Linked DNA regions of Tribolium castaneum. Each later gene encodes a partner of the first gene's protein in a complex. Links are inferred from orthologs where the notes say so. Each region holds a gene or a part of one and is shown on either strand. Other genes may lie near its edges.

Evidence for each region. Proteins that work in one complex are often made in the same cells at the same time.
Region 2: transcription initiation factor TFIID subunit 8 (region 1) and Taf5 share a complex: the UniProt entries of both Homo sapiens proteins name them as parts of the TFIID basal transcription factor complex. The link is inferred for Tribolium castaneum from reciprocal best matches to the Homo sapiens genes TAF8 and TAF5.
Region 3: transcription initiation factor TFIID subunit 8 (region 1) and Taf11 share a complex: the UniProt entries of both Homo sapiens proteins name them as parts of the TFIID basal transcription factor complex. The link is inferred for Tribolium castaneum from reciprocal best matches to the Homo sapiens genes TAF8 and TAF11.

What each region holds. Positions count from the first base shown.
Region 1 is NC_087396.1:13,175,928-13,186,290, forward strand, and holds transcription initiation factor TFIID subunit 8, read left to right. Parts: upstream 1-5,662; 5' UTR 5,663-5,757; coding exon 5,758-5,896; intron 5,897-5,944; coding exon 5,945-6,231; intron 6,232-6,281; coding exon 6,282-6,432; intron 6,433-6,566; coding exon 6,567-6,853; 3' UTR 6,854-6,881; downstream 6,882-10,363. Other genes in the region: tou (bromodomain adjacent to zinc finger domain protein 2B), read left to right, coding at 1-1,146, 1,236-1,414, 1,468-1,753, 2,033-2,154, 4,025-4,297, 4,347-4,655, 4,710-4,866; angiotensin-converting enzyme, read right to left, coding at 6,882-7,182, 7,231-7,514, 7,570-8,023. UniProt on the Homo sapiens protein: The TFIID basal transcription factor complex plays a major role in the initiation of RNA polymerase II (Pol II)-dependent transcription.
Region 2 is NC_087398.1:2,402,883-2,414,439, forward strand, and holds Taf5 (cannonball), read left to right. Parts: upstream 1-5,723; 5' UTR 5,724-5,787; coding exon 5,788-5,844; intron 5,845-5,887; coding exon 5,888-6,473; intron 6,474-6,519; coding exon 6,520-6,847; intron 6,848-6,898; coding exon 6,899-7,055; intron 7,056-7,508; coding exon 7,509-7,829; intron 7,830-7,883; coding exon 7,884-8,393; 3' UTR 8,394-8,446; downstream 8,447-11,557. Other genes in the region: JhI-21 (large neutral amino acids transporter small subunit 2), read left to right, coding at 433-892, 1,973-2,101, 2,382-2,523, 3,311-3,635, 3,682-3,943, 3,986-4,128; heterochromatin protein 1, read right to left, coding at 4,387-4,926, 5,000-5,257; FMR1-interacting protein NUFIP1, read right to left, coding at 10,587-11,170, 11,220-11,557. UniProt on the Homo sapiens protein: The TFIID basal transcription factor complex plays a major role in the initiation of RNA polymerase II (Pol II)-dependent transcription.
Region 3 is NC_087394.1:5,380,790-5,392,132, reverse strand, and holds Taf11 (transcription initiation factor TFIID subunit 11), read left to right. Parts: upstream 1-5,509; 5' UTR 5,510-5,937; coding exon 5,938-6,218; intron 6,219-6,261; coding exon 6,262-6,446; intron 6,447-8,926; coding exon 8,927-9,060; 3' UTR 9,061-9,110; downstream 9,111-11,343. Other genes in the region: protein crumbs, read left to right, coding at 9,229-9,262, 9,308-9,577, 9,731-9,795. UniProt on the Homo sapiens protein: The TFIID basal transcription factor complex plays a major role in the initiation of RNA polymerase II (Pol II)-dependent transcription.

The sequences.
Region 1 (10,363 bases):
AAGTTAATGAACAACGTTGAGAACATCAACGACTCTAACGTCGATAAAGAAGTGAGCAATATAGTCGGCAACAACGAAAGTACCGAAGAGGTTGAGAAAAGTCCAGTCAAAACCACAGATGATAACGATAACGAGCATAGAAAGACGCCAAACCGATTAGGAGTGTTCGAAAACGGTGAAATTTTGGATAAAAGCGAGCGTAATTTAGCAGAATTGCGAAAAAGCGTCGACGACATAGTACAAAACCTTGAACGAAATATAGAAATAGAAAAGGAGAATAAACTAAAGCAAGAATCTCTGAACAAATTGAACAACCACGTCGAGGAAATTAAAAGCGAGCCAGGCGAGCCCGACTCTCTCGCTAATAAAAAATTCAACCTTTTCGAAAAACTCGGCCAATGCATGGAACGCGAGAACAAGACCGAAGAGGACTTAAAGGCTGACGTGAAAGCCGAAGTTAAGGAAGAACTGAAGAACGAGATTCTAAACGAGTTAAAATGTGATATAAAAGCCGAGTCCAAGACCGAGATTAAGAGCGAGGACGAGAAACCGGCCGAAAGTGAGCATAAATGGTTCAGTGTGTTGAATAAAGAGGGCACTTGCGAGGGTATTTATTTAACAGCGGGGAATCGATGGGATAACGGTGTCGGTGCCTGCACTAGAGACAACCTCACCGAACTCAAAATTCCTGTTTTTCCACCACCAGGCGCCAACTCTTCCAATTATCACAGTTTGTGTGATAGCCCCGCTCCTCTGCAGATGACAGCCGAAGAGAGTGCCCAATTGGAACACATCAAGAAACACGGAATGCCCAAATCGTGTGCCAGGAAGTCGGTGCCAGTTGATAAAAGATACGGTTGGTGGAGGATCACAGATCCGGATCAGTTGAAGGAGGTTTTGGATAATTTGCACGTGAGAGGGGCCAGAGAACGGGAATTGAAGCGAAATTTCATCAGTATCATGCAGACGATGTACGAGAGACAGGGTAAATTTTATATCGAAGATGGGCAAAAGGACTTGACAGAGCTGGCATTGGAAGGGATCGAAAGTGTCAAGTTTATGGACGGAGGGGCCCCACATCCAGACGAACCGGGGGCTTGGAGCCAGTCGATAGCCCATCGAGTCGACTTATTCCTGCTGGAACAGGTACTTAATCGCTTTAATACCGGGTCATTAATTAATTAAACATTTGCCAGCCTTTTTTTATAATAATTGTTAATAATTGTAAAAATTAGGTTGAGGCGCTTGAGGACAAGGTGGCCAGTGCGAGCATGCAAATCAAGGGTTGGAAGATCCCCAACAGGGACACGCCCGAGATTCCGCCCAACGAAGTTGTGCCTCTAGTGCGTGAGCGTTTGTCATCGCTGGAGGTGAACATCGAACGTCGCTACCTCAAACCTCCCTTGGGAGTGAAGTGAGTACAATTTGCGCCACTCGCTACGTTTGTGCTACAATTTTTTGTGCCAGGCCTACGTGTATCAATATTGCCAACGTGGGGGAGCAAACTTCGACCCCTGGACAGGAATCAACGTCCACCGCTACCGCACAACAAGCCCCGGATCCGAATGAGATTCCGAAAGGATTGGCCGTGTGGAGAGAGGCTGTGAATAGGGCTCAGACGTCGGCACAGTTGGCCATGTGTCTATATTCACTTGAATCGTCCATCGCTTGGGACAAGAGTATCATGAAAGCTGTGAGCTCTTCTCATGTCTTTAATAAAATGAGAGCCCGCAAATATAACAGCAAGCTCAGTGTGGGTGCTTGTGCTTTTTCTAGTTTTTTAGTTTGCCCAATGTGTGGTGAAAAGTCGGTACACACTAACTGCATGAGAATCAATTGCATGATGATTTAGATTTAGTTTCATTTTTCACCACATATTTTCTTAATTTAAATACAGTCAAATTTAATTTTATTTAATTACTAGCAACAGCTCGATTTTTTGACTAATTTTAATGGCTGTCTGCACCTAATTTTCTTTTCACTAATAAAATGAGGGGCGAGTCAAGTGTTTGAAGTGTAAGGTTTTTTACAGAACTGCCAGTTCTGCCACAGTGGAGACAACGAAGATAAGCTCCTGTTGTGTGATGGTTGCGATAAGGGCTATCACACGTATTGTTTTAAACCCAAGATGGAAAATATTCCTGAAGGTGACTGGTACGTACTTAGCTATTTTATTGCCCCAGTTGTTAATATTTTTTGTTACGGTTTCCAATTAAATAAAATATTTAACTAATTGATCAAAAAATAAGGAACTAAGTGGTTATTGCCTCAAACTATTTTCTTTCTAAGAAACGAATTATCTAGTTATTATTATTTATTGTTAGTTATTCTAACTACATATCGCAACGTGTTCTTCAGATTCAGACATTACGGTTTTTTTTATTGAAGCGGGTATCTAAAATACTTGTTTCTGTTAAAAAAAAATGATAAGGGATAACACACAAAAAACGGTGGTTACCATCAGTTTCATTAGAATTGTTAGGCAGCTCCAAAAGGAACAATTGAGTTAATAAAATTGCTTTCACCTCGAGAATTATATTTTTAACAATATCTATAATAATGTTTGGTCAGAAGTTTTCGATATAGAACAAAATCAATAAAAAAAATCTTAAAAATGTGCCGTTTTTCTTAAAACGCTATGAAAACTGCACTTAAAAATCAACACTACATATTAAAGAAAAAAATTAGAGAATTAATTTTTTTACAAAAAAATCCGCGACACTGTAACTATGTCTGACGGTTCAGGCCCTAAAAGACGTCATTAAAGAATTTTTCTTTTTTATTATTATTATTACAATTTGTGTTACTACATTAACAAAATTGAAAAACATTTGCTTTTAAATTTTTCTAGTGTCTGGTACAGTTGGAAATACGCTATCAAATTTTTTTCTAGGAGGATTTAGTTCGTTCTTACACTTTTTAAGTAATTTTAATAAACTCACATAAGTGTTGCAGCGCTATAATTTTTAATAATTTTTAAAGTTATTTATTTTTCATAAAAATCACTCCCAATTGTTAATTTTCATTTTCGTTCAGGATGTGGACTTTACCCGAGAAAATTTTCGTTTCAGTTTTATTTCATGGTATTTCTATTCGACTATAGTTTTATTTGCCTAAAAGTGTACATTTAATTGATAAAAGATCACTCAAATTCTGTTTCATTCAGTCTCTCCCATGCTTTCTTTCACTAATTTGAACCGTTTTAAAGTTGATAAAACGCATTTTGTGCGCTCAATTCTAAAATGAAAATCGTTTTATGTATCATCTTCATTTTTCGAAGAATATTCACAGTTAAATACGCTACAGCAAAGATTTGAAATCATGCTCAACCTCTGTCAAAATACTGACTAGAAATTATTCTAAAGAAAACTATTGCCGACTAACATTTTAATCCTGATCCTCCAAACACAATTTTTCTCCAGAAATATATTCCACTGGCACACACTAAACAGTAAACACTCGCGCACTACTGAACGGCGAAAATTCATAACACGCACTGATCACTGATGATAGTTCTATATTTTGAAAATCGTAACCAGCAAAACTCTAACTTTTATTTTATTTAATAAGTTTATGAGGTGTGTGTTCACGACTACAGCAAGTGACAAACTGAATGAAATCAAACGGCACATCAGTAATTGATAAGAATGCTCATAACGTCATAACTCGTCTGTAACAAAAAATAATCCATTCATGTAATTAACTGCTGCAAATAAATAACGAAGTTTTCCTAATGTATTGATTTTTGGTGCGTTCCTTTGAACTTTTTTGGATAGAGTTAATACACGTATACAGGGGGGTGAATTTTTGAGGTCTACATATATTTTGAGCTCATTATTTAAGTGTAACGTAAATGTTAACACTTTACCGAAATCTTCGCGATTATAAAAGACACGCACACATACATTCGAAATATACAAGGCCATTTTTATTGAAGAGACTATTTGCTAGTCGATTATAGAGTAGGTACTAGAAGAGGCATATTTTTTTAATAAGTAAATGAACGAAAAATTAATTTGTGTAGGTATTGCCACGAATGCATGAACAAGGCGACAGGCGAGCGCAATTGCATCGTTTGCGGCAAGAAATCGTCGACGTCTGGCACTCGGCTGATTTTATGCGAACTGTGTCCTCGCGCCTACCACACCGACTGCATTCACCCCATCATGCACAAAGTTCCTCGCGGCAAATGGTACTGTTCCAAATGCATATCGAAAAAGCCTCAGAAGAAGACGATGCGTAAAAACCACGCAAAGTCTAGCAAAGATAGCGAACTGTCCGACCATCCTCCTTCTAGGTACCTCTCAATTTTTCGTTTTTTATTTATTAACATGTCGCGTCTCCAGTCCCGCACCGTCTCATAGTTCCGTTACGACGAACGAAGAAGCAACGAATTGCAACCAAAGCGACGTCTCTAACTCGAGTCTCGGCAACGCAGGCTCTCCGTCCACGCAAACGTGCAAGAAGGACCGCATCTCGAAGAAACTACTCAAAGAACTCGCGCCGTGCAAGACGATTCTGGAGGATTTGGAGTGCCATGATGACGCGTGGCCCTTTTTGCTTCCGGTGAATACGAAGCAGTTTCCCACTTACAAAAAAATCATCAAAACGCCGATGGATTTGTCGACGATCAAGAAGAAACTGTACGATGTGAGGTTGGTGTTTTGACTTGAAAATTGATGGTGTGAGTTATTTGGGCGTTTTTCTAGTTATAAATCCAAAGAGGAGTTCGTTCTGGACGTGAGACAGATTTTCAACAACTGCGAAGTGTTCAACGAGGACGACAGTCCTGTGGGAAAGGCAGGCCACTGCATGCGCCAGTTTTTCGAAGCTCGGTGGAACGAGCTGAGTATTTCAAATAGTTGAGGACTACTTTATCCCAAAAGACCTTACCATCGAAGAATGCGGCCCCCGGAAAACAGTGTTTAAATTGCGATGAGGTGTGAATACAAACTAATTTTTTCAGAAAAACAGTACAGGTATTTCCAGTGTGTGATATTGACTTTAAAAATGTATACTTCAGCTTTTTATCGTTCGGAAATTGTAATTATTTGAATGCAATTAAAGTCTTGGATTTGCGCATCACTTAATGAATTGACTTAAACAAGAATGTGATTTTTAGTTGGTTTCTCAATTTGTATTAATTTGTATTTTTGATAATTGTGTATTTTTTTATTTAATTATTTATTTAGGATAACTATTTTGTTCATTAAATGTTCAGTGGTTTCTATTTATTTATTTTTCTAACTCAATTTCAGTTTCCCGACTTGAAGTCTGGTTCAGTTACAGTGAATAAATTAGAGTAAGAGTTTGTATAAAATGTAAAGAAATTTCTTCACATAATTGCATCGCTCAACATTAAATTAAATGTCTCTCTAGCCTATTACAAAATGTTTTTATGTAAGCTGAACATAGTTCTCAAAGGAAAGGATGTATTAATAAATAATGTGTTTGGTAGGCTAGTTCTCTGCAGCGCTAAACTGCAACTCATAGAACTAGGTTATGTATTTTAATGTAAGATATTTATATTAATTATATTTACTTATAAATGTCGCCTTTTTTCATTTCTCTCCAACCGCTACTACCCTGTTTTCCAACCACACGTTGGAAATTTTTGGAATTCCCGCGTATGGATGTTTAAATTTCGGCTCTTTGGTGATTCGGTCAGAAACACAAGCTTGTCATTTGTCAAACGTTATTATAACCTTAACTTTTCGGAACGTAAATAACAACAAACTTTGCTTTAAACTTTAAAAAATGGAACAAACCACCACCCAGCAAGTAAACGTTTACCGAAAAATGTTAGCAGCGTCAGTCTGCAGCATTCTAATGGAGTCTGGTTTCGATACGGCCGACAAAGAAAGCCTCGGTACTTTAACAGAAATGATCCAGTGCTGTAAGCCCCTCAACCCTTTTTTCGCGAAATAAGCACACTTTCTTGCAGTCCTAACCGAAGTGGGGGCACTTTCGAAAAGCTACTGCGAGTTGTCGGGCCGTTCGGAGCCCGTGGTGGCCGACGTGATTTTAGCATTTGTGGAAATGGGGCACAATTTCAACGACTTGATGGTGTACACAAAAGGCATGAAGCATTCGGTTTTACCCCCACTACAACCACAGCAGCCCCAGAAGCAGCTAAATATGTTACCAGCTGGCTCGAAGCACCCTTTACCCCCTTACATCCCTCAGCATTTACCCCAGTTTCCGGACCCCCACGCCTACGTTCGCACTCCTGTAGGTTTGTGCTGTTGGGGCGCGTCAAATATTTTATTGTTCTATTACAGACACACAAACAACCAATTATTGATTACGAATCAGTGAGAGAAAAAGCGGCAGTTCAGAAAAAAGACATAGAAAAGGCGTTAACGAAGTTTCTTGCCAAGACTAACCCCACACATAATTTGTTTGACACAGATGAGGCGAATATTTTTCCACGTAAGTGGTCCGTTTTTTATTTGGAATTTTTATTTCGTGAGTGGTGGTCAATAGTGCTCTGGAAAAAATTGGTTGCAGAGCACTCTTGACTACGTTTTTGTTTTATACCCACTATAGCAATTGAAATATTTTAGTGATAGCTTGTAAGCCTGCGTACCCCCCTTACTTGAGCGCTCTCCTGCCCCAGGATCAAATTTTTGATCCTGAAGACCTCGAATATGACCACAAAAGTCAAATGATGCAACAATCAAAAGAACAAAAAGCGAAAGAAAAAGCTGAAAATAAAGAAGAAGAAGAGACTGAAGAAACACTAAATGATTCCACAAAAAGTGAAGAAAACACAAACCCAAATGGGTACATTGATAATCCGTATTTGGCCGCAACGAAGCTGCCTAAAAAGGACGAAATGGAGGTGTCATAAGTAAGACTAAATTATAAGTTTAAATTTTTTATTTATACAACATGTAGTTATTTATAAGAATCGGAGTTATAGAAATGAATATAACAAGATTTGAATCAAACACAATTTTGTTGCTTGTTGCAAACAAGAATGGCTGGAACAAAGCCTCCTCTTCCAAACTTGTCATCCATCCGACCACACTTTCATTCCGATTTTGTACTTTGAGCCACAACATCAAGGGCTGGAAGTACTGAAGCATTGCTTCAGCAGACAGGCGATCCGACTGTCCTCTAGTTAACATTTTTATCACTTCTTTCCAATGTCTGGCCTTCCCGACTTTTAGCAAGTCCCTAAAAATATCTAATTAATTTTTATTACAAGTATTGAACAGTCATTACGATAAAACGCGTCCGGCTTCCCTCGACCGGTAAATATCGCAATTATGCAACGGCCCCACATGCCCTGAAGCAAAACACATCGAGCTGTGAATTTGGAATTCGAGCAAAAGCGCGACGTAATATTTCATGTACGGAATATCGGCGGGAATGTGGCGTTTTGCAGCGGCGTCGAAGTGGTTTTCAGTGCGAGGGATTGGGGGGATTAATCCCTGGTAGCGCAGGCGCAATTCCCACCAAACTGCGTTCATGTTTTGCACCCCGTTTTGAAAAATTTCATAACGCCACTGGAACAATTATTTTTTTAATTATTTAACTGTGAAAGGGAAAATTGGCACTTACTGCGTCCACTAAATACGCAAACGGGGCAAACGCGACTTTTTTCAAAGCCATCAGCATCAAAAAGTTGATGTTGGTTTCGTAACTGTCGGTGTTTTCGTTGAATAAGCCGACTCGGTGCAAGTGCACCGGGTTGAAGACTGATAGAGAGATTGCGTTCGAGACTCCTTCGTGGAAGCCAGGGTTGGCCCCGTCTCGGTACAGATAGGGCTGTTCGCTGTAGTGCAGGTAGTACTGAATGTGGGCCATTTCGTGGTGTGTTGAAATTAGATCGTCCATGTTTACTTCAGTACATTGTTTTATTCTGTAATCAATTTGGTTACAAAAGTCCCACGCACTTGCCGTGCATTGTACTTTGCGGTCGTTTGGTTTTTCGAACATTGAGAAACGCCAAAATTCAGGGGGCATGGGCTTGAGGCCGAGAGATGTGTAGAACTCTTCGGCCATCTGAAACATTCTGAAAACGGTTTTGTTAATTAAAACTTTCAAACACCCGCTAATACTACATTCCAATACAGGCTGTCTCAAAATTGACGCCCGTGCTTTAATATGCGATTTGGAATTTTTTCCGCATGTGCACACACCTAATTTATAACCGAGCTTTTAACATATCGAAAAATCTCGAATGTTGTAATGCAGTAGTATTGTATCCTTTTGTTTACTTGTTGGTATATTACTGCCATATATAATTGATATACAGAGTGAGATTAAAGTAACGCATAAAATTCGTAATTCTTTTATTTAAAAAAATATGAAAAATGCAAAAACAGGTAACTTAGCATTTTAATTGAGCTCAAATTTGACCTAGCTGGATCAGTCATGGCGGCCAATATGGCATATGTGTGAATCTAACATTCCACCTGTGGTCAGTGGCGTGACAATTAATTTTCTAAAGGGATGTTCAATTAGACAAATGAATCGTTTTTTTCAAAAGTGGCATAATCTACAGTTTGTTAGGTAATTGTTTATTTTGTTACCATTATCGATCTTTGTTAAAGAGCGTCTTTACAATGTTTTCCCCTAATACAGCCTATGAACCCCTGACTGCTATTTAAATATGTGCCACTGCCTTGTTAATATCGCTTACAATGGAGGTAAACACTGCCCCCCCGCGTACCCCTCGCCAATCGTTAATCGATTAACACGCTGCAGTATAAGTGATGTGATGCTGTGTCTTCTTTATCTTACCTCCATGTTTTAAACACACAAAACCGAAGAAAATTAATAATACTTGTCACTAGACAGAGCGATTCAAAGAATTTTAACATCGTTAACATAAACTAATGAATTATGTTGCACAAATAATTGGAAAGACAGCATAAACCTTATTATTATTTACATTTTTATCAATAACTCGATAACGAAGGACAATTGGAAAATTTTTTACTCTTAACTTTCATTTGTGTTAGCTCCCTGAATCAAATTCCCAAAGCACAGGCGTCAATTTTGAGACAGCCTGTATTAGTCCCTTCAACACACAACACTTTTTAAGCATTTTGACCTTGTTTTCGAAGGTGTTTAAAAAAGCAAAACTATACGGCACCACCATTTTTTTTATCAAATCTACCCCCTTTTTTGAAGTTAAAATTCGCTATTTGACGTTAAAAGATGTCCTCTTAAAATAGAAATTAACCTGTCCGAGTATTTTTTTAATATATTAGTATAAATACCAGATAACCTGTCGTTTTTGGTGGGCTATCCTGTATTATTATTATTATTTATTATTACTATTATTATTAAGACATATTTAAAAAGTTAAATTTTGCCATCAGCTTAGGAAGCTCTGATGAATTTCAAAGGATTGTGTGATAATTATGACCTGTTTATGTTAAAAAATCAACTAAACCCATAATACACAGTTTTTATTAATCGAAGAAAATTATAATAATGAATATGAATAATTTCTCTTCTTTCTTTTCTTGTGTTCTTTTCGAGTGTTAATCGATTGCTACAAATAAAATAAAAAAATAAAATAGAAATGTTTTCTCACTTTAAGTTCAGATAGTGATTCAAAATACACGCCATACTCGGGAATACTAGATAAAAGTCTTCGTTCTTGCCATCTTCGTCTATAATTTTTAAAGCGGCATCACAGGGCAATTTATCATTAAAAACAAATGAACCCATAACGCGAAATTAAGGGAAGTCTTATCGTGAAACATTATAACACCTCTCTCAGAGAAAACTCCCTTTCGAATATCGATGGTCACATCGGTAACCGAAGGCCTGAGCCTTTTTGATATTCAGCATTATGTATGAAATTGCACTAAAGCAGCTGCCATGGCTTTATTTTTGACTCTATTAACGCTTCTTATGTGCTGCACTTGACGATACTCTTCCGATATTTTTTTAAATCCATTTTATCTACAAACAACTGGCTTTTTACCGCGGTTTTATATTAATTCCTATCTTACAATAACTTGAAATAACCAACAATAAAAATGTTAAAACTACGGATATCTAAAACTTAGGATACGACACACAAATAAAACGTCCCCATCCTCGATAGTTCCGGTAATGTCGCCAAAGGCGCAGTTGCTCCATTACCGTCTACCGTCTTTTATAAGCAATAAATTTATAAAAATAGTTGTAATTAAATAACGATTAGCGCAAGGCGAATAAAAAATACAGGCAGATGGAGCATTCAATTCTCAATAATAGGAGATAAAAATAGTGCAAAAATTATATCTTAAACTGTATTTAAAAAAAATCAAAGTCCCGTAATTTTTTGTGCTTCAATTTGAGTATTTCATAAAAACGCCCAAACAATTTGCTACTAAAAAAAATTTCGGCGCTT
Region 2 (11,557 bases), on another chromosome or scaffold:
GTTAATCTGAGTGAGTTTTGTATCAAAAACATTTTAAACTCCTCATAAATATCTGAAATACCGTAATTAATTTAACGATTTTTTAACATCTATTTATGTAAGCTTTAGGCTTTTGGTTCAAAAAACTGAAGGCTAATTGGATAAAAAATGTCCAAGCCTTGTGACTTGATAGAACGTGCACCAATTAATCAAACAGGTGATACAAATTATTGAATAAATCCCGCTGTCCCATCGCTACCTCCGCCCATGCCTCCGCTTGCATGACCCAATACCTGCCGCTCTTTGCGCAAGTCCCTCGTAACGCGCCAACAAATACTATAAACGTAAACGTAAACCACGCATTGAATCCCAAACCGCGTTGAGTAGTGAATCGACCACGTGTTCCCGACATGGTCCCAACCCCCAAAATGCCCCGCCACTAGCCCCAGCACCATGACCTCCGGCTCGCGCCCCAACGGAGACGTCGGCGACGCCGACGGCGCCGTCAAACTCAAGCGGAAAATCACATTGTTGAATGGAGTCGCGCTCATTATCGGCACCATCATCGGCAGCGGCATCTTCGTCTCCCCCACCGGCGTCTACCTGAGCACCAGGTCGGTGGGCGTCTCCATCATCGTGTGGTGCCTCTCGGGGATCTTCTCCACCTTGGGCGCCCTCTGCTACGCCGAGTTGGGCACCTCCATCACCAGGTCCGGGGGCGACTATGCCTACATCTACGTCGCGTTCGGGCCTTTGGCCGCGTTCTTGCGCCTCTGGATCGCTCTACTGATTATCCGGCCCACCACCCAGGCCATTGTGGCCCTCACCTTCGCACAGTACGCCGCCAAGCCCTTCTTCGACGACTGCCAGCCTCCGGAAAACGCCGTCAGGTTTTTGGCGGCGGCCTGTTTGTGTAAGTCCGGTTTTGAATTTTTGAATCTAGGAGTGACCTCTTTCGGGAAAGGGTGATACTAACGGGTTCAGCCGCCCAAATTATGATAAAATATTGGTTTTTTTACTTGAAAATGATTAATTTGCTGATGAAATAGCGTAAAAACGAGGGATATGGATTTGCGTGACGTCGGGCGCCCACATTTCCCTCGAAGAAAGTATGATGCAACAGCGTCACAATTGAGGTGATGCGTTCAAATTTAACAATAGCAACATAGATCCGTACTTTTTTATTTAAATTATTTGCACATTGGAAAGCACATTCATTATTCATTTCACTGTCTAGCTGGAAGGTATAAATAATTAAATAAATTACTCTATCAGTCCACATATTTATTTATTTGCCGCCGTTTTATTGTTGTATCGATTATTAAAGTTATACCTACTTGCCTATTGTTTTATTCATTTTTTGTTTGTTTCTGAAGTTCTAATTTTAGTTGTCTTACAAGAATATTTAAAAATTTTCTAAACGTATAGTTTTAGACTATTATTAAAAAATGCAATTTAATTAGTCACACAGAAATCAGCATTTGCTATTAAATTTTTGATTTTTTTCTCTATGCATGTAAATTTTTTCATTAGTTTTTTTTCAAGTAAAGTGCACCAGTACCATTATATCCCACCTATCACCTTTTCACAAAAGCATAAAAGTTGTCAGGCTGTGCCACTCTTTTATGAAAAAATATAACCTTGAACGTTCTAATGTTTACTTTATTATGCAAGTTCCCAATGTATTATTAGTTGTATCACATTTTACGTTACATTGTTGAGAAACCATTATAGCAGTTCACACACTTGCAGTTTTTAAATGCGCTATCTGTAGTTTAGAGCAAAAATAATTGTTTTCGATATTATTTAACAGTTTAATTTTCTCAATGTTAAAGTGATGTTTTTAAGAAATTATTTTTGTGGATAACACAAACAAATAGTTTTTCGGTGAGAAAGTTCTGACATTAAACATTGCTTAGAGAAACAAATTTTTATTATTTCTGAGACACAATCCCGACAAATCGCTGATAAGAGCCATTGTTTTCAATTTCAGGTCTTCTGACGGCAGTTAATTGCCTGAGCGTCAGATGGGCTATGCGAATACAAAGCGTCTTCACCGCAGCTAAGCTATTAGCCCTGATTGTGATCATTCTCACAGGACTTTACGATGTAGCAATTAATGGTAAGTAGAGATTAACAATAAAGTCGCTACTGCCTGTGCGTGACCACAAACATGAATTCCCTTCACCTGATGCTTTTTACATCTTGACACACTTAAATCGAATTTTCATTTCGCAAACTTGCTCACTGCATAATCATTCGTCCGAGCAACTCTAACATTTCACTGGACTCGCCCTGAGTTAACAAATTAATTCTGTTTGTCCCGACAGTGCATTTATGCGATCAAATATTTAATTTCTTGAGTTGAGTCGCACTTGACCTCGCCGACTGAAATTTTGCAGGTCACACTGAGAATTTCGAAAATGCGTTTGAGGGAAATTACGAAATTTCCCAACTCGCACTCGGATTCTACTCCGGATTGTTCGCTTTCGGAGGCTGGAATTTCCTCAATTTTGTAACGGAAGAACTCCAAGATCCGTACAAGTGAGTATGCGACTCATTTAATACATTCAAGCGAAATAATTCAATCACCGGATCGCACAATACGACTTTGATGGATGATGGGAAATGAGACGAATCTGATTAACAAACTCGGTTAATTCGATTCAAAAGGCTGAATTCGGGCGTAATTGTCTAAGACTGCTTAAGGAAGGAAAAAACCAGTGACGTGATCTTTAAATGGATGAAGGGATTCTTGAATTAAACATTGTATTTTCTCGCCACCGTTAAAAGTATTTTATTGTAGTTCTTCTCACTCAAACGTCCGCTATAAATCGAACGTGATTTTAACCTGATTGAGCTACTTAAATCTAGGACGAGAGGATGCGTCTTGTGCGCTCCACTTCTCGAAATATTAAAAGAATGCAATTATGTGCGAGAATTTACCATCAAGGCGCTGTTCGCTGCGAATTTAAATGTAAATTTCGAAGTCAAATATCTCCGAACTGAATACGAGTTTTTCACTTTTCTTTTTTTAATGCCTAACTTGTTATGTAAGTGAGAGTAAATTACAAAATTAGAAAATACACGCAGCCTTGAATTTGATAACACAAGTTGATGGGTTTTATCACTTTTCTGATCGTCAGCTTAGAAGTTATTAAGCAACGTGTAATTTTTTCCCAATTTCTATTTATTGAAACATCAATTTTATTTTTCGATTAAAGCCACGTGCGGTTAATGATCGATAAAAATGCTTTCAGTCCCCAATCATAAACTGAGTCTTTAGTAGAATAATGGTGGATTTTATTGCCCCTGACTTACACATTTTCAGGAACCTCCCTCGTGCCATATGGATCGCCCTTCCCATGGTGACCGGCGTGTACGTCCTTGCGAACGTCGCCTATTTCGCCGTGTTATCAGGAATGGAAATTGAAAGTTCGCCGGCTGTTGCGGTCTCCTTCGGCCTCAAAATGTTCGGTTCTTTCCACTGGCTAGTTCCAATCTTCGTCGCTTTGTCCACTTTTGGCGGAGTTAACGGAATTCTGTTCACCTCTTCGCGGCTGTTCCTCACAGGATCTCAAGAAGGACATCTCCCCGACTTATTCTCCTTCATTCACGTTAAACGCATGACCCCCATACCCTCACTGATATTCACAGTAATGATCCCCCAAAGTTTAGCAATTTTTAATGCCCTATTTTTAGTGTGTAACCTCTTTAGCAATGCTTCTAGTCAGTGATGTCTTCGTTCTGATAAATTACTACGGACAAATATTATGGTTTTCTGTGGCGGCAAGCATTGCGGGAATGTTATGGCTGAGATACAAGCAACCCGATATGCCAAGGCCGATTAGAGTGAACATGAGTATCCCAATAATATTTTTGTTCTGTTGCGCGTTTCTTGTGATATTCCCCATACCCTCGCAGCCGTGGAACACAGTCATTGGAGTGGCCATCACGCTGTCAGGTACTTAATTACGGAATTTTGACAAAAATAACACATTTTTAGGCATCCCTGTGTATTATTTATGCGTCAAGTGGCAAAATAAACCGGAAAAATTCAACCAAACTTCGCGAAAATTGACGGAAATACTCCAGAGTATTATGAACGTGACTTCACCACAAGCGGAACAAACACTGTCCCATTCTTAATTTATTTCAATTGTAGGTTTATTTATAAAAATTATAATTTTTTACAGTGTCGTATTTGCAAAAATACCTGTATGGCAGTATAACATGACTGTTTCTTTCAATAACCAATGGTGTGAATATTTTCACGGTTTATTACAAAAAAAGAAACATGAAAAATGAACAATATCTTAATATAAAACACTGCAGGCGATAGAAAACTATTACGGAAAAAATTAACTGGAATCCTACCAAAATAAAGGATTTTCATGACGAAACAACTTAAGACTCATCGGGAGTATGCCAAGCGAGACGTTCCTCATAAAACTGAATAACAATTTGTGGACACTTGACGTTTGCTTCCTTAGCTGGGACTAAATCGGTCTCGTCGGTTCCCTTCCACTTCATCAGAAACATCAGCTGTCCTGTGGTGTCTGATGCTCCTATGATTTTCTCGGCTTGGTAGCCCCGTTCAAAGCCGACTTTTGATTTACTCTTGGATGAACTATCCTTCCCCTTTTCAGATTTCGACTCAGACTTTCGCTTTTTCTTGGATTTTTCGTCGTCATCGCCTTCTGATTTCTTCTTTTTCTTGGACTTATCCTCGTCGTCAGATGAGTCAGACTTGTTTTTACCATTTTCGTCGTCGGAATCTGCGTCTTTTTTTGAATTCTCTTTCTCGTCCGTGGAATCTGAACGACGGCGAGCTTTCTTCGACTTGGGCTCGCCGTCGGAGTCCTCCGTTTCAACCGCATGCTTCTTGGGCCTGCCTTTTGATTTCTTTTCAGACTTCTCTTCACCGTCCTTGGATTTTTTCTCTTTCTAGGGATACACAATTAAATAGATTTCGGGTCGAAGTGGGCTGGTTTTTGCTTGGCTTATCCAATAAACCCACCTTTTTTTTGTCACTATCCTCGTCCGCACTTTTCGTGGTGGAAGACCTCTTCGCCTTGGCTTTGCGCGACTTTTCAAATTCCGCTATGAGATCGGGACAATCGAGATTGTCTTCGGGTTCCCAAGTATTATCGTCTTCGCTATAACCTTTCCACTTGAGAAAATATTCGACCTTTCCGTTTACGACCCGCCGGTCGATAATTTTCTCAACTGAATATTCCTCCTCGCTCTCGCTGTCTTCTACCTTCTTTTTGCCCATTTCTGCAGTTTTGTTTGCGAATAACCGGTAAAGCGATGCTGACTGCGTACTTCTGGAACAATAAGTATTGCTTGCATTCAACTTCGTTACTAAAATGCTGACTAGTTAAGGTAGTGGATAATAATGCGATTGGAGCCGTTATTTACTTACTTTCAACTCTGGCTCTTAAAAAGCCACCACAAAACACCGCCGAAAAGATCCTTTTAATGGCGCTGGAAATATGGCGGGTGGCGGTTAAGAAAAAAATGGTGCCAACACAATTCAACCAATTAAAAATTGTCCAAAAACGACTCTCAGAGTTTTAAAAAATATAGCCAGGAGTTACAACTCTCATACTGCGCTCTCTGAATGAAGAGAAAATCGGATTGTTGCGAAATAAGCCTAGATTTTTTATAAATCGACGTTGAATGGCAGGCTTTAGGGAAATTTTGCGTTATTGATTGTTGTCATTTGCATTAAAGTGTGGTTAGGGAAACGTCAGTTTGTGTTGTATTTATTATTTTACGAGTTTATAAATGAGCGCCGAAGAAATGGAAAAATCTCAACTTGCAGCCGTTCTGCAAATTTTGAAAAAATACAATTTAAAGGTGAGCTTATGGCGAGTAAGCACAACGTAACATTTTTCATTAGGGCACTGAGGAGCTGCTACGAAAGGAGGCCAATCTCGGTAATAACATAGCTGATGGCCCTTTGCAACAAAATTCAGACGTTAGTAGCGTTCTGACGGGGTACAAGAGTGACGGAGATCCAGAAACCTATGAGGACTCTTACATGGAGTTAAAGCGTTTTGTTGAGGGCTCCCTTGACATTTACAAACACGAATTAGGCATGATTTTATACCCAGTTTTGGTCCACATGTACCTCGAATTGGTTTATAATGGACATACGGAGAAAGCGATAAACTTAATGAAAAAATTTGGCCCCGAACAAGACTCGTACTATCAGGAGGATCTCAGGAAGTTGGCTTTGGTCACAAAACGGGACCATATGAACGGGAACGAATTGACAGACACCTTCAAATCAAACCAGTTTATTATTCGAATGTCGCGTGACACTTTGTCACTTTTAAAACGTCACTTAAACGACAAAAAAGCGTCAGTTTTGCTGAACATCATCCAGGAACATCTCTACTTTGATATGTACGAAGGCGTAGCGAGGAACAAAAGCCAGATTGATGCCACGTCAGGTGCCGTTGGGGGAGAGGCAAAACGACAAGGTTCATTTTCGTTATCATAATTACAATAAACACATCAAAATTCCAGATAATAAAACCAAAGTCTATTACGGCATCCCCAAAGCCCCCGACATTCAGGCACTAGCAGCGCCAGTCGAAGACGAGGACGAAGGCGGCGAACAGGACAATCCGGACAAACCTAAGAAGAAAAAAGCCAAAAAAGACCCACTTTTCTCGAAAAAAACAAAAAATGACCCAAACGCTCCACCGCCTGATAGAATTCCAGTCCCGGACATGAGAGACCACGATAAGTACGAAAAAGTGAAGGCGTACAGAGAGGCCTCAAAGAGAGTTACGTTAGGCCCGGATTACCTCCCTTCAGTTTGTTGTTACACCTTACTTAACGCCAATCACACGTTAGTTGAGTTTATTCAGTGAAAATATTTTCTTTATCGGGGGTTTTTTAGGGTTAATTGTGCTGAAATCACCGAAGATTCGAGTATGCTGGCGGTGGGTTTCAGCGATTCAATTGTTAAAGTCTGGACACTTGTGCCTCAAAAACTGAAGGCTATGAAAAGTGGGGAGCAGCTGGAGGATGTCAATGTTGACGTAGAGGATGTCGTGGTAATGTTACATTTTTTTTTAATAATGAAATCGATAAAGTACATGAAAAAATATATAATCAATCAAAATTAAACGATAAGTAAAACTAAATCAGTAATTTCGATTACAATTTTTTGTTCAGAAAAGACTTTTATTATTACTACAAAAGTAATCACTCATTTTTTTAATACAACATTAAATATATTCAAAGTTAAGTTGAGATTTTAGTTTTCGCCCCCATCAAGTCGATAAAGTAGACACCGACTTAAATTAATCGACTACTTGAATAAATAGCGATAAAAATAGGTCGTTGCCGTGTGGAAACCGTCAACATGTTTAAAATCGCAAAATAAATGACTGGAAGGTGTATCATTTTTATTCATTTAAACAGTGTACTTAAAGAAATCTGCCAAGATAGCAACTTATCTGTCATCTTGGCCAGGTTCCAAAAACTTACATGTTTTCAACATGCAGGTGAGAATGATGGATGAAAGGTCCGGTGAGACTTCCAGATCGCTTTACGGCCATTCAGGGCCTGTTTACTCGGTATCATTTTCCCCAGACAAGACTCTCCTTATCAGTTGTTCGGAAGACACAACAATAAGATTATGGTCGTTGCAAATATGGACTTGTCTGGTGGTCTACAAAGGACACATGTTCCCCGTTTGGGACGTCAAATTCTCTCCCTTGGGCTATTACTTCGCTTCGGCGTCGTACGACCGCACTGCGCGACTTTGGGCCACCGACCATTACCAACCGTTGCGATTATTTGCCGGTCATTTCTCCGACGTCGATGTAAAAATTATCAATTTTTTTTTAATATTTTTTTACAGAAATTATTAATTGTAGTGCGTCCAGTTTCACCCAAATTCCAATTACGTTGCGACCGGTTCCAGCGACCGCCGCGTCTGTTTGTGGGATTGTACGACGGGAAATCATGTCCGACTTATGACTGGGCATAAATCGCCCATAATGTCTTTGGCGTTCAGTGTTTGTGGGCGGTTTTTGGCTTCCGCGGGGGTGGATTGTAAAGTGTTGGTTTGGGACTTGTCCCATGGACACTTGGTTGCAGAACTCACCGGGCATGAGAAGCCCATCCATGCACTTGCTTTCAGCAGATGCGGGAATATTCTAGTTTCAGGAGGGTTGGACTGTTTGCTCAAAGTTTGGGATTTTACCAAACTGACTGAGGAAATCAGCTCGGAGGAAGTAAATGTGTCGCATAATCCCGATGTGAGGATCGGGGATGATTATTTATTGAGGAGTTTTGCGACGAAGAGCTCGCCATTGATCAGCCTTCACTTTACGAGGAGGAATTTGCTATTGGCTGTTAGCATGTTTGATGGTGTTAGCACTTAGTTTATTGTAATGTGTATTATTTACCTTGATAAGAAATAAATTTTTTAACGATTTTTTTGGGGTTTGGTTTATGAATCGCTTGAAATAACACTAAAATGTTAAAATAGAATTCCGAGTTGAAAATAAACAGTGTCAACAACATTAAAAATGTTTGCCAGGACTTTTGCCAAAAACATTCATAATTTCTCTATGACGAATCAAACATTTTTATAATTAATATTCACACCGATAAAGTCGGTTATTCAATACTTGAAAAGAAAAAAGTAATGGTCTTGTACGTCGAAGTAATTACTTTGGTTGAACAGACGTATTTTTGGCGTCCAATCAAGAATAATATAAACAAGGATTTATTTTCGAAACAAATTTGTTGTGATAGAAAATTAATATCGTTACAAATTTTTACGCTTTGACTGGTTGTTAAAAAACAAAATAAATGTTAAGGTGCTTGTTTTAACTTTTATTTGAATTAATGTACATGTTTGTAGCTTGTTTTGTTGCGTTTGAAATTAATTTATTTGTGAATAACGTTACCTAAAAATTAGGCAAAGGATATGAAATTATTCATTAAGCCAATGTACAGGGTGAGTCTGCTAAAAGTATTATTTACAAATATACTATTTCAAAAGTATTAATTACTTTTTTTCTATACATGTAATTTTTTCCGAATATTTCTCCCTTTTCGTTATAATTAAAATTAATAAGACACCGTATGTGGAACTACGGCAGGGCCCGAAATGCCCAAAAAATCCAGCTAACCTACCTCAAGCCTAACAAGCGAAATCAAAGTAAACACATATTTTGTAAAAATATCATCGAGCGAACAATGCCAGTGGTGTGGCAGTGAACTTGTTTACGTACCTATTTTTCGAATGAACTATTTGAAAAAGGTACCTCAAAAATTCGCATTACGTGTGCTAAAAATGACTCGAGCATAAGCAAACCCAAAAACAACACTTGAAAATATCTGGAAACTGTTTACGGTTGGGATGATGGAGTAAACCCCACCCCCTATAATACGTCATTAGCTGAAAGCTGTGCAGCGTTCAGCCAGGTCCTGGAAAGCAGAGCATCTTAAGCGACAACGTTAGAAGCATCTGAGTGATATTTGATTCCCGATCGCTGCTGCAACACTAAGTAAGATATTTTTACGCTCTTAATTATAACATCGCAATTAAAAGTTGCTTCCTAAACTAGTTATTAAACTGGAAAAAAAAATAAAATTTCACAATTTGTGTGAAATATGGTGCACTTGAAGCTTTGGCCGGTGGGGCTTTGCATAATTTGCACAAATAAAATCATAAACATGTCCGGCTAAGTTAACATACTGCATACCTGTGTTAAAAATAAGTGTTTTCGGAAAATACGAAATGAATTGAGAGCATTGAATACATCGATTCTGGAAACCATCCAATAAACATGAAATTATTTATGTTACTAATCAATTTTTAAAATAGTTATGACAGGATTAAGGAAAAAATTCCAGGTCTTAAGACGTTAAACTTGGGTGTGGGTGTTACATATATGGGTACCCCCATTTGTTATTGAAGTGGTGGTTAAAAATAGCCGGCATTTATCATAAATTTTGATTTTCCAACGTCTCCAAATTATTCGCTTATTAAAATATATTGGCACTCGCTCACATTCTTCCATGGAATTGAATTACACCGAAACGAAATGTTCTAATTGCAATTGGCAACAATTAATCCGTCTGTTTCAGTATCATGCCAAACGCAAACGAAACCGGAAACCTCCTGACAACCTACTTGATCCTTATTGCTCTATTGATAGCACTTTGGGTGCTTTATGCCGGACTTTTGCAGTAAAATCTGTAAGTATTCCTGACCTATTTTAATCACTGGCACGATATAGATCACGTTTGGCAGGCACTGCTCTAAATTTAGCCATCGGTATGTTTACATCCTTCATTACGCCTGACATATGCATCATTAACTTTTGTTATTGCGGCGCAATAACTGCAATTTTTACGTTCCAGGGCCATTCAACTATTGTCAAACGGACCACTAGCCTAATTATGGAACAGCCGTTTAAGCAGTCATTTGTATTTTTATAAGTATTAAGACAGTACAATAAGAAAATGTAAATAAAGTTTTGTTTTTACGAGGTTTTTTTGTTCGGGAGGTAAGACATAACACATACTTTACAAAAATATATTGCGTAAAAATGATCACAGTTTTATCTGAAGAAATTATTAGTGACGACATGCTGTACACATTGTAGTAAGACATTGCGCTCGTGCCTTATTTCACTATCTAACAACTTTTCCAACAGAGTTACCTTACGTTTAACGAATTTCATTCGCGAAAAGCCACCCGGTTCAGGTTTGTTATTTAGTTTTTGTTTCTTACCACTAGATAATCTTCTCCGCTTGTTTGTTTTGACGACTTTAGTATCACTCGCTTGTTCATTTGGATATTCTACTTGTTCTCTTTGTATTTTTTCTTCAGTTGGAGCGTCATTATCGACAGTCTGAGGCGTTTCTTCTTCTTGGTCCGACTCATACGCACCCATTAGTGCTCCCAATGCATTATTTAATTCAACAGTGACTTTTCCCGAACCATCCATCCATTCCTCATCATCGTAATCACTCGTTTCCTTCTCATCCTCTTCGTTATATAATTCCTTGGTGCCTCGAAACGGAAACATTGTCCCATTCCAGTCACATTTTTCATCAATTAAAGATTGCTTCGCTTGTTCGGGATTTTTGACAACTTTCGGCACATTTTTCCGCTGTTGTTTTTTGTGCCTGACTCGTGACACTGTAACAAAAAATTTAAATAAATGACTCAAACACAAACAAAAACTTACGTCTTGTCTTATCCTTCCCGAATCGATTTTTCCTCTCCCCAATTTTCTCCCCCCTTTTCAACATCTCCTCCCGTCTTTCGTACCTCTTTTGGACATTTTCCCTGCTCGGGTATCGAACTTTTCGTTCTTCGATCCATTTCGCGATTTCTTCGGGCGTATTAACACTTCGAATTTTTTCATAAAGGCCAGTCAAATGTTGCATTTGGATATGTTTTTCGATCATTTTTTGAGGCGCTGTGTACTGGCACCCATCCACACCGCATATTCGGTGCTGCGACATGTGATTCTCGTAATGCTCTCGCGTATAAAAATCCTCTTCGCAAACATCGCAAAAAAAC
Region 3 (11,343 bases), on another chromosome or scaffold:
AACTAAAAAAAATTTAAGCATTTGCGAACGACTTCATAAGTTTTTGGATAAAGAAGATTTTTGCTTAAAAACACCGACATTTCTCATTAAAAAATAATAATGTAATTTCAATACAATTTTAGGATCTTTCAACATATTTCTCGAAAAAACTCAGTTTAAATGGCCTAAAAAACGATAATAGTGCTATTTTCGACATAATTCGAAAATTTTTGAGTAATTTCTCTCAAATTTTCGCAAAATAATTATGCATTTCGCTGAAAACTAAGCAAGTAATTGTGATTTTTCGGCTTATTTTTGACGAAATTTCGCGAAATAATTATGTTTCTCAATAAAAAAAAAGGCACAAACGTCAAAAAAATTGTTATTTCGAAACCATATTAGCGATTTTGACTTATTTTGAACGAAAATTTATGAAATAGTTTACTTACTTACGTTTCTGAATAAAAAATGCAAAAATGATTATAAAACTTCGTTTTCAATCAAATTTAATGATTTTACGGCAGAAGATTTAGCAAAAAAGCTGTGTTTTTATCTCACAAACGCGGTAAAATTGCAAAACTTGTTGCATTTTCGAACGATATTATTATTATACTTTCAGTTTATTTTTGGCAAATTTCGCAACACAATCGAACAAATTTAGTGAACTTTTTGTTTGGTTTGTTACAATATGTATGAGAAAGAGTGAAATTGGACAAAAATTGGAAATAAACAATAAAAACCACATTTTTTCCTGTTGAAAACATACACTGTAAACAGTAAAAATTGGAACAATAAACATTACATTAAAAAATCAATCAACAATTACAAACAACCTGTAAAAGCATTATTAACCCTGCGATTAAAACCGAATCGTTAAAAGCAACTAATTTTTCACAAAATGAAATTATTTTGCGCACCCATGCTTGCAACACTAATGAATTGCTCCAACTTTTTGTTTCTTTTTTACAACACAAATTCCATTATTATTGTTATATCCGGCTGTAAATTTCACTTACTGTTAGTAATTAAATCAAAAATACCATAATTTTTGCATTATATTCTGATTTAATTGTTTTACCATTTGCCTTTATCGCTTTCTGCAAATTAACAACACAAAACAACTACTTTAAGTGAATAATTCTATGCATTTTTATTAATTATTAGTCGTTTTGCAGCTTTTCATCTAATTTAAATCAAATAAATGCTTTATTATTACATTATTAAGACACGGTTATAATTAGGCATCCAACTTTCACTTTTACCAAAAAATAACTCCCTTTGTTACGACCACAGTGAAATTTTCATTTCCATTGTCACACGTCGTTTCTCAAAGATTTTTTAAATTTTATTGCACAATTGTCTGACTCAGACCGGACATTTTAATCAGATTTGGGTGAAATTATCGAGTGCTTGAACCCAACAACAACTCAATCAACATTTCCACCCAAAACATAGAAACAATGGACTTGATTAAATTATTATTATTAAACTAAAACCTTGTAACTCCAACGGTATCTTGTGGGTAAACCGAATAAAAAATTCCCAGCCAAGAAATAACTTGATTAGTGTGTCATTGACACGATCTGGAAATTCAACTTAAAATTATCGTTAAATCGAGCACAAGCTAATTATTCGCAATTATTCTAAAACAGAACACTAGAAAATGCTTTTATAATAATTAGGTACCCATCCGATTTTGAGTGAAAGCACTGTCATTTTATTGTCTCTGATCCAACTCCAAAAAAGTATCATTACAGGAAAACCGGCAATTGTTGAAGAATTGTCGGAAAGAAGCAACAAAACGGTACTGTTGCCGTCATTTACAACGTCTATTAATTATTTCAAAAGAAGAACGAGTTATGCCGGAAAGAGGCTTTTCTCTAACGATTCCGGATTTTCCGGGAAACACATTTATTGCGCCAGTTATCGATCACTTCAAATTGTTGGCAGTGACACTGAACGCGGATAAATCACAGAATAATGCGACTCAAAGTTGAAATTTTATTGTGGAATATTGATGAAATTTGTCATAGATTTCCCTGACGTCATTTACGTGCCAGAAAAGTTATTGTTTCAAAAATTCACAAATTATGAAAAACATTACAATAGTGGAGCCGACAATTTACATATTTTATTGCAATAATAAATTAATAAATAATAATACCTCCAATTACTACTGACAATAAGCTCATTCAATACAATTGAATTGAAGTAAGATTAAAACGTATTTTCAGTAAATTAGTTAGTTTTGTATTTTTGCTGACTAATAACAGCTACGTAGAAAACCGTTATTCGGGTTAACGTCACAAAATTTCAACGCTTTTATTTAAAGCAAACGCTACACATGTGCGTCCGATGTATTTAAAAAATATGTATAAAAGCACTTTATTTCTACAAAGATAAATATCTAAATTTAACCATCTTTTGGCAACACAGGTTTACACAAACAAACGAAAACACCATAAGAATCTTCATTGTGCTAAAATTTTTTAATCTGACCAATCGTTTAAAACTCAAAACAATTATCATGTTATTGTTACAAAAAATGCGTTCAGAAGATATTCATTAAAAATATTGGAATATTAATGCAATCGAAATTATTATTTCTAAACAGATACTAAAAAAATGTTTTGTGAGAAGAATACGTAAAAAAATTGTAGCAAGCCCCAAAATTACTTTTGTTTCATATTCAAATTTTGGTTTAATTAATTACTTACGGAAGCTAGCAGCAATTATTCTAAGATTTTGGTGCAAAATAACATTTAAAAATCGTTTCTTTTAGAATGATATACGAAAAAAAAATATGCAGCAACTTATTATTAAAATAATTAATTTTGACAAGAAGAAATTGTAGAATAAATCAAAAAAAGTCATATGCACAGAAAAAATTATAAAGTATTTAATAACAAAAGCTGATGTCTGTGCGATTATTAATTTTTGAGGTATAAAAAATATATACTTTTGATATTGTAAATACTTTGTGTAATAACCAATAATTATTAAATCAAGTTGGCAATATTGTATAATACAGAAACAAAAGATATAAAAAATGACGTTTTACAAAATTCAGTATTTCTACATTTTTTATGTTGCCAACTTAATTTTATAATAACAGGCTGCTCTGATCAGGAATTCAACTGAAAGCAAAGTGGTACTTGGCTTTGAAATGAAGTTGGTGGCATTGAATAATGTAAAAGTCTAAAATATCCCTCAAAAAATGTAACTAAAGACATTAGACGCTTTATTCTCAAAAAAAAAAAAAACAGAGACTGAGGACCGGTTTATAAAAGCGTCATTAATTTAATTCGCAATTAAATGAGTGATTAAAACTGATCACGTGACTAAACTGAGCTAATGTGATTGGTCTTTTCGCGTTGTTAAGTATTAACAACGAATTAAAATTTGATGAAGCTTTCTATAAACTGGCCCTGAGTATACTAAAAATATATTTTTACGAAAACTAATAATCGCACAGAATTCAGCATTTGGTATTAAATCCTTTGTATTTTTCTCTAAACCTGTAATTTTTTTCAGATTTTTTCTAGAATTAATTACATTCAAATCGCTACAAAAAATTGCTATTTCTTGTGACAACGTTCAAATGTTGTTTCGTGTTAAAAATCATTAAAAAATTTGAAATACACGTAATTTTGGTGCTAGCAAAAATTTTTGTAAGAGTTTCTTTCTCGAAAACATCATTTCATATTTTTAATTTTATTGATATTAACATCCTTGATTAATTAATTTTAATTAGAAGAAAGGGTAAAATTTTTGAAAAAAAAAAACACAGACATAGAGAAAGAAAAATTTCTCGTAAAAGTAAACGCTTATCAAATATTTAAGCAAAAAAAACACAAAAAAAATAATTGCTGTGAAGCCTAATAAAGAAGTTCAAATTCGGTTAAATCACTAATAGTTTTTTCATATATTTTTTAAATAGAAAAAAGAATTATAATTTTATAATTATAATTTATTAAAAGAGCTTAGTTTCTTAAAATCCTTCAACTTATATAACTCATAAGATGTGTTTTCTTCACTAACGTTGCTTTATTTTAATTTAAATCTGAGGAATTTCCACATATTAATAATAATAACAGAAATATAACTTGAGAAAGTCATAGCTGGAACAACCTGTATATGATTCATGCAAAAAATTATAGACAGTTCTCTCAACAACTGGAAAAACAGTTAATTAACCGACATGCAATGTCCATCACCTGATCGGTAATTTATTTAAAACGGTTCAAAACAAAGAACAATGCAACAACAAAAAACCGACCTCATCCCAAACATTTAAAACGCAACTTATTAAACCAAACATTAATTCATTCTGTGACGGAAATTAATTAAATTTGTTGTGTGGGTGTAAAAAATCAATATCAATTAACTCCGATTTATAATTAGTACAAAATGTCTCGTCCCATCTTATTGTTTTTTTTTTCTTTCACGAAAATTGCATCTGAAACCTTTCACATAAAGCTTTATAGATTTTCCCCTTTTCAGTAGCAATAACACTGACGTTTATTTCTACAGTCCCGACAAACTTTACGATTTTCGTTTTTCTTCTGCAATGTGCACTTAGCTCTCGTGCAATTTTACATCCCCAATTCCCACCGTACGAACTTTATGCACCTGCTGTAAATTTTCATCCCTTTTACACAGCTCCCACCAGTCTGTTTCTTTCATTTTTAATAAGTCTGGCGAGGGGCAATTCCGCTAATGGTAAGACTGTTTGATATACAAAAATCGAAAATAATCAAATATTTTTTTTGCTCTGCATCAACATCTATTATTACTACGTATCGCTACGTAGAAACAATCATCTTATTTACGAAAAGTTATACATAATACAAAAAAAAAATTGTACCTAACTCGCAATTCATGCAGCACTCGCTAGGCTCGTGCCGTAAATCACCAATATCCCACCTAACATTTTGTGCAGTTAATAGTAGTTTATTTGAAGTCTCACAAAAAAGAAATTTCGAAAGATAACTTGTATTATAAAGAAGTTGTGTGCTACAAATATGTCCCCAGGTCAAAGTTTGTAATTTTATTATTTTCTAAATTAATCAATAAATGTTTCATTTAATAACTGTTGTCATAAGCAGGGGTGGCCAAAATTAAGTAATAGATCTAAATAATTTTAAAAAAACTTTAGGTACTTGTGACCCTTGAAGTCCCCACAAATTGTAGCAAATAACTGAGCATTTTTTCAGGGAAATAATCTAAACGTGGAATCGCGACTCACCTTCTTGGTTTAGCGGGGTAATGGTGGTGGTTGAAGTGGGAGCCAGTGCAAGAAAATTGGGGCACAGCAAGCCCCATCCAACGCTCTAAGGCCCCCTGCGTGCAGTCGGCGAGCACCTGCGTGAAAAAATTCAAAATAGCCACAATTTCGTGCCTTTCCAAGCGTTCCCAGCTAACGGTTTCGCACACAATGCTGTGGACGCTTGGGTGATCAAGGGGGCTCCAGGCCCGATTTGACATTTTGACAGTTGTCATCCAGCAAACAAAAGCCACCAACTGGGATACTTACAACGTGATTTTGTTGCCAAATTCGTACGATTATCACACTAGAACATTGTCAAAAGCGGTTAATTGCGAATTAACTGGTCCCGCAATAAAACAACGAAAAAAAAGCGTTTTTGTGTCGTTCACCGCGACGAATCGACCCGACACGTTATCACAATTTTTATCACTGCGAATTGGGCCTCAAACTCGAGAGAAATTCATCGTTTCATTTACTTCGCCTTATTTTACACACAATAAACAAAATTATTGTCAAATATGAGTGTGATATATTGACTGGAATTTGACACTGGCGCCACCTCAGATTTGCACGGAACTACAGAACTACCAGTAGAGGGAGCAGCGATCGCTCATTTTTTCTGTCAAAATTAACACATAACCTTACTTCATTTCCAAAAAAATAAATAGATAATGTGAAAAAAAGACACAATGGACAACATTTTTGCGAAACCTCCAGCCTCCACGAGTCAAATCATCAAAGCTGACCCCAACTACGAGTCCATGGACGAAGACGACGACTCCACTGTGGAGACAGTCAAAGTCGAGGAGACCCAGCTCACGTCTGAAATTCACATCAAAGACGAAGAAAATGTGTACCTGGAGTCGGATATAATAATGCCGGAAGCCCCTCAAAGTAGCAGCGCTCCGGCTAAGAAGAAAGAGGTGAAGACTAGGAAGGAGATGGAGGAGGAAGAGCGCGAGAAAATGCAGTAAGTTGGTGTAAAGTGGGGTTTACTGAGGGTTTGTTGTAAGGGTTCTAGTCTCGAATTTCACCGAGGATCAGCTGGATCGATATGAGATGTACAGGAGGTCGGCGTTTCCCAAAGCTGCAATTAAAAGGCTGATGCAGACGATTACAGGGTGTTCTGTTTCCCAGAATGTGGTCATTGCTATGGCTGGGATTGCCAAGGTCTTTGTTGGAGAGGTTGTGGAGGAAGGTGAGGATAATTCAAAAAAATATTTTTTTTATTTTCTCTATTACACCAAAACTATTCGAAAATGTGGAATTATTTTGGTCTAAGCCTATGTAAAATGATCCGAGGAATCGATGGGCGCCGAGAAAATCTCCAAATTCCCAATAGTTTTTTAGTTATGATTTTTTTAAGTATTAACCAGACAGCTTTCCAATGAAATTACGTCTAATAGTTTAATTTTTTTTATTTTTGTGAAGATAAGTGCCTTGACCACTAAAATTATGGTAAATTTTAGTTGACAATTGAGACCATCAGCTCGAGATTGAAAATACATTCGGAAGCTCAAATAACGTGAAAATACGTATTAACAACTTTTTTCTACAGTTGCCACTGCTTAAAGCACTCTTTAAGCTGTAAATTTATTATTATTTTTTTGATTAATTCAAAAGAAGTCGATACGAAAAAGCTTACACACCTCTTTCCGGCAGTGGTGTCACTCTAAAAAATTAGTAAAACAGTCCAAAGACTTAGAAATGTCAAACTCTTTTTTTGTGTGCAAAAAAAATCAAACATGTAAGTATTTGTGTAATTAATTATTACGCTCGATAAGACTTTCTTTATGGAATAGTGGTCTAACGAACCATTGCACTGTGGACTATGTAAAAAGTAAAAAAAATAACTATGTAAAATTACAAAAAAGTTAATTCCCTATTTTTTTTAAAATGCCCTTTTGGTTTAGCGAAGAACAGGAAAAAAACATCAATTTGAAGAGTTATAAAAAATTGTCTTGGAGCCGTGCTTTGAAATTTTAGGTCGCAGTTAAACAAAAGTTCTAAGATTATAATTTTGAAAAAAATTTTTCTTTTCTGTGCCCTACTGTTACAATAAAAAACCGATAATAAATAATAAATTCAAGACAATTGGTCGCCTCTAACAATATTTTTAAATAGCAAACAGATATGAGTAAGGAAATGGCAGTAAAAAACAATAAATCATAAACTAGAAGATTTTTCTAAAAGCTTTTTTTGTTTTTGCCCATTTGCCTATTAAGTGCCAATTTTTAAGTTTTTTTAATTTTTGAGTTAAAAGTTGCAACGTCGTAAATTAAAAAAACAAACTTAAACAAACAATGTACAATATTTCTAAATGCCCTTCGTTTTCAGATCAATGATGAATCTATTTTTTTTGATAAAGTCTCAATTGACATATTTTTAAATACAGTACTACTAGAAAAATCATTCTTTGTCACTGTACAATCACATTTTTGCTCACTAATACTCATTTACGTAATTAAAAAATAACTAGGAGCATTGCCGATTTTATAACTCAAGTCGGAGGCAAAATCTATACGTTAAAGATATGAAAATGACATAATAATTATTCCCAATTGTTATCTATCTATCCTGTTACTTTTCACGTTTATTCTATTTAAAGTAATGAAGCCTTTTGCGTTACATTCTGTCAGTAAGGTTTCGTTATATCACGGAATTTATTCCGTTTTTTGCAATTTTCTTAAGATTTGAGTATTACTTAAGACTTGTATTAGGTAAATTTAATTAAACTTGCACAAATTCAGATTTTTATTCCTGTTTAATTTGATGCTTAACAATGTAAAATAAATAATAATTTAATTCGGATTAGTTTAATTTTTTATTACCAAAATTTCATTCACTTTCTGCAATGAAGTCTTACGACTTCTTATTAAATAAATGACACCCACTTTTGTTGTAATTAGTGAGTTTTAAACCACTTTGTTATTACTGTTACGAATAACTAACACAAAACTTACAATTGTTTTTTTAACGGATCCAAGACCACTTTTCAATTGTCGTTACGTGACATCAACTCTGAAATGTATTCTAATAACGAAAAAATGCACACAATTGTTTTAATTAATTAGATCATTCATACGTCCGGGGTATCTTATCTTCTTGTAAATATTAATAGTTCTAGTGCTCTAATTGAGTAAAGAAATTAGTAGACATTTTCGAACTTACTCAATGATTTAAGAAAAGTTTGACATCGGTTTTTATGTTTCTTTTTTTGTCTACATATTCCAGATAATTTCATTTAGATACAGTGAAACCTCTAATATTGAATAATTTGAGAGTAAAAATTTTTTAACAGTTTTAACTTTAATTCTAAAAATTCATGTCGCAAAGCATTTTAATATTGTCATTAATAATTGTAAATATTTGTAAAAAAGGCAAACAAAATCTATTTTTGGAGATGCATTAGTACCTACCTTCCCTGCCAAGCCTGGAAAAATCTGTAAAAAATGTTGATGCACCGTTGCAGTGATATCGTCACGCTGGAATATTTATTTAAAGATTGTTGAAAGGAAATTTTAAGTCACTATTTACAAACAAAATTGATAGTTTTGAACTTATGACCGCCAGAAGCTCAATCATTTGGATAATCATTTCCGTCATAAAAACCTCACCAAATTAAAACCAGATGACTCGTCCCGACCTTGCATTCGTAACCAAACCCTCATTTTCCAGCTTTGGACGTAATGGAAGAACAATCGGAGTCGGGCCCTTTGCAGCCCAAGCACCTGCGGGAAGCCGTCCGGAGGATGCGCCTCCAGGGGGCCATCCCCAGCGGAAGAGACTACAGGTCACACTTCCGCCTCTAGACTTACGCTTTGAATTATTTTTAGACGTAATAAACCTTTTTCTATTTTAATGTTGCTTTACTTACGAACAAGCCCCGCATTATCGGCCGGGAGTGGGAAGCAGAGGCCAACGACTCTCTTATCACGGAGGGACGCGTCTTAGTCGCTTCCCAGCTTCCCTCGAGCAAAATGCTGATTAGAGTCATAGTGGTGTTTGTTTTAGGTAAGTGTGCACACGTTATTTTCAATTCTGCAAACGATCATTTAGGGTTGGAGCTGTGCACCGCCTGTGATATGGACCAGACGAAGCAAGGGTGCCGCATACAGAACAAGGCCTGTTCTTGCGGGTTTGGGTGCATTTCTGAGTACCGTTACGACACGATGGCCGAGTGCCAGAACGCCCTCCGGGGCAAACGCAGGGACATTTGCAACCCCAACCCCTGCCTGCATGGGGGCTCCTGCATCCAGATTTCGCAAAGGCCCAAGTACAAGTGCAGGTGTGAGGGCACGGGATATTTCGGGCTGCGGTGCAGCAGAGGTATATGAACAACAAACAATCCCTGTTTGCAGTCATGAAAATTTCAGTTTTTATTTAGACTCTTGGTATTATCGAGTGATAACCTTTGACACGACAACTCAAACTTGCTCAATGATTTTCCTAGTTCGATAAATATTGTTTGTGTTTTTCTAGCATGTCCTACGCCAGGGGTGGGCCCCACTGATGCCGTGTTCCCCTACGAATGCATAGAAATATGACGACCGCCACCAGTGCCCTGTTCGTGCCTTTGTATTTTTTTATTAAATAAAATGCGTTTTTTAATGGTGTTATTATTTCCTCCGAAAATTACAGAAACCAACAAATAAGCAAAACATTTTATGTTCTTAAATGAGTGCAAAATGTAGGGCATATTACAGGAGAATTGTTTAGAACCCGAACGAGCGCACTGAGCAAGTGAGCAATTTTCGAGCCATTATACATGAATATATTATCTACGACTGCATCATTGAATTACTTTAGTTTAATATTTGTTATCAAAGAAAGATTTGTTTTATCCAAAATAAATCAAAACGTCAATAAAAATGTTTTGTGCGTAAGAGCTGATTTTGGTCGAGAATGTATACAAAAAAACTGTGAAAATAATAAACTGCTAAGTAAAATAATCGAAATTCTAAGTAATAAACTAATAAATAAATAATAGCACAGCCATTCCATGATTACGGACGGGACATAATTATCATCTCTTACTATCAAAATAGCTTGTCTTAAAAAATAGTAGTGATTAAAGTGATGATTTTAATTTAAACATACGCCAATGATTAACAATTAAATACATGCAGATAATTTTCCCAAAATTTTTATAAATATTTGATTACGGACGGGACACGAATGCGCCTAGTAAAAATTGAGTCTAAAAAAAGGAAAAAAAAACCTGAATACTCTCGAAACAACAAAAAGATGTTAGATCTATTTAAACATATGAGAAATATTGTGAATAATTTTTTCATGAAACCAGGTAATAACGCGGAAGTGTAATATAAAAATAAAAAATAGTGAGATTACGGACGGGACTCAAAAATTATGCCGAGTAACAATTTTATTATAACTTACAACGCGAAAATTTTAACAAAAAAAAAGAAACAACTTACAATTATCAAAAACAACACCGTTTTTGTGATAATATTTTGTCGTAACTTTGGAAAAATATTCGTCACTACTTAGAAACATATCTTCCAATTAGAAAGCTCTTGATTTTGCGCATGCATAAAATTCTTTAGCATTATTAATTAAGTATAATTTTTTCTGAACAAACCTCGTTTCAAACTAGTCTTTTTCTGTACGCAAATGCTAAAAGAGCAAAAAAAGATTCCATTTGTTTATTAGAAAACTAAATTTTGGAATAATTGAAAATTTGAAATTTATGCGAAAGTTGTCAATTACCGTGGAATTGCTAAGCAATTACCATTTTCACCTCTGGTGTTATTTACCCAGCGTTTACGAACTGTACTACGAGTACTTAGCGTTTAATGAAATAACTTGGCGTTCAATTTTTTTCCCAAATAAAAAAAGGAAAAAAAATCTGAATACTCTCGAAACAACAAAAAGATGTTAGATCTATTTAAACATAACAGAAATATTGTGAATAATTTTTTCATGAAACCAGGTAATAACGCGGAAGTGTATTATAAAAATAAAAAATAGTGAGATTACGGACGGGACTCAAAAATTATGCTGAGTAACAATTTTATTATAACTTACGACACGAAAATTTTAACAAAAAAAGAAACAACTTACAATTATCAAAA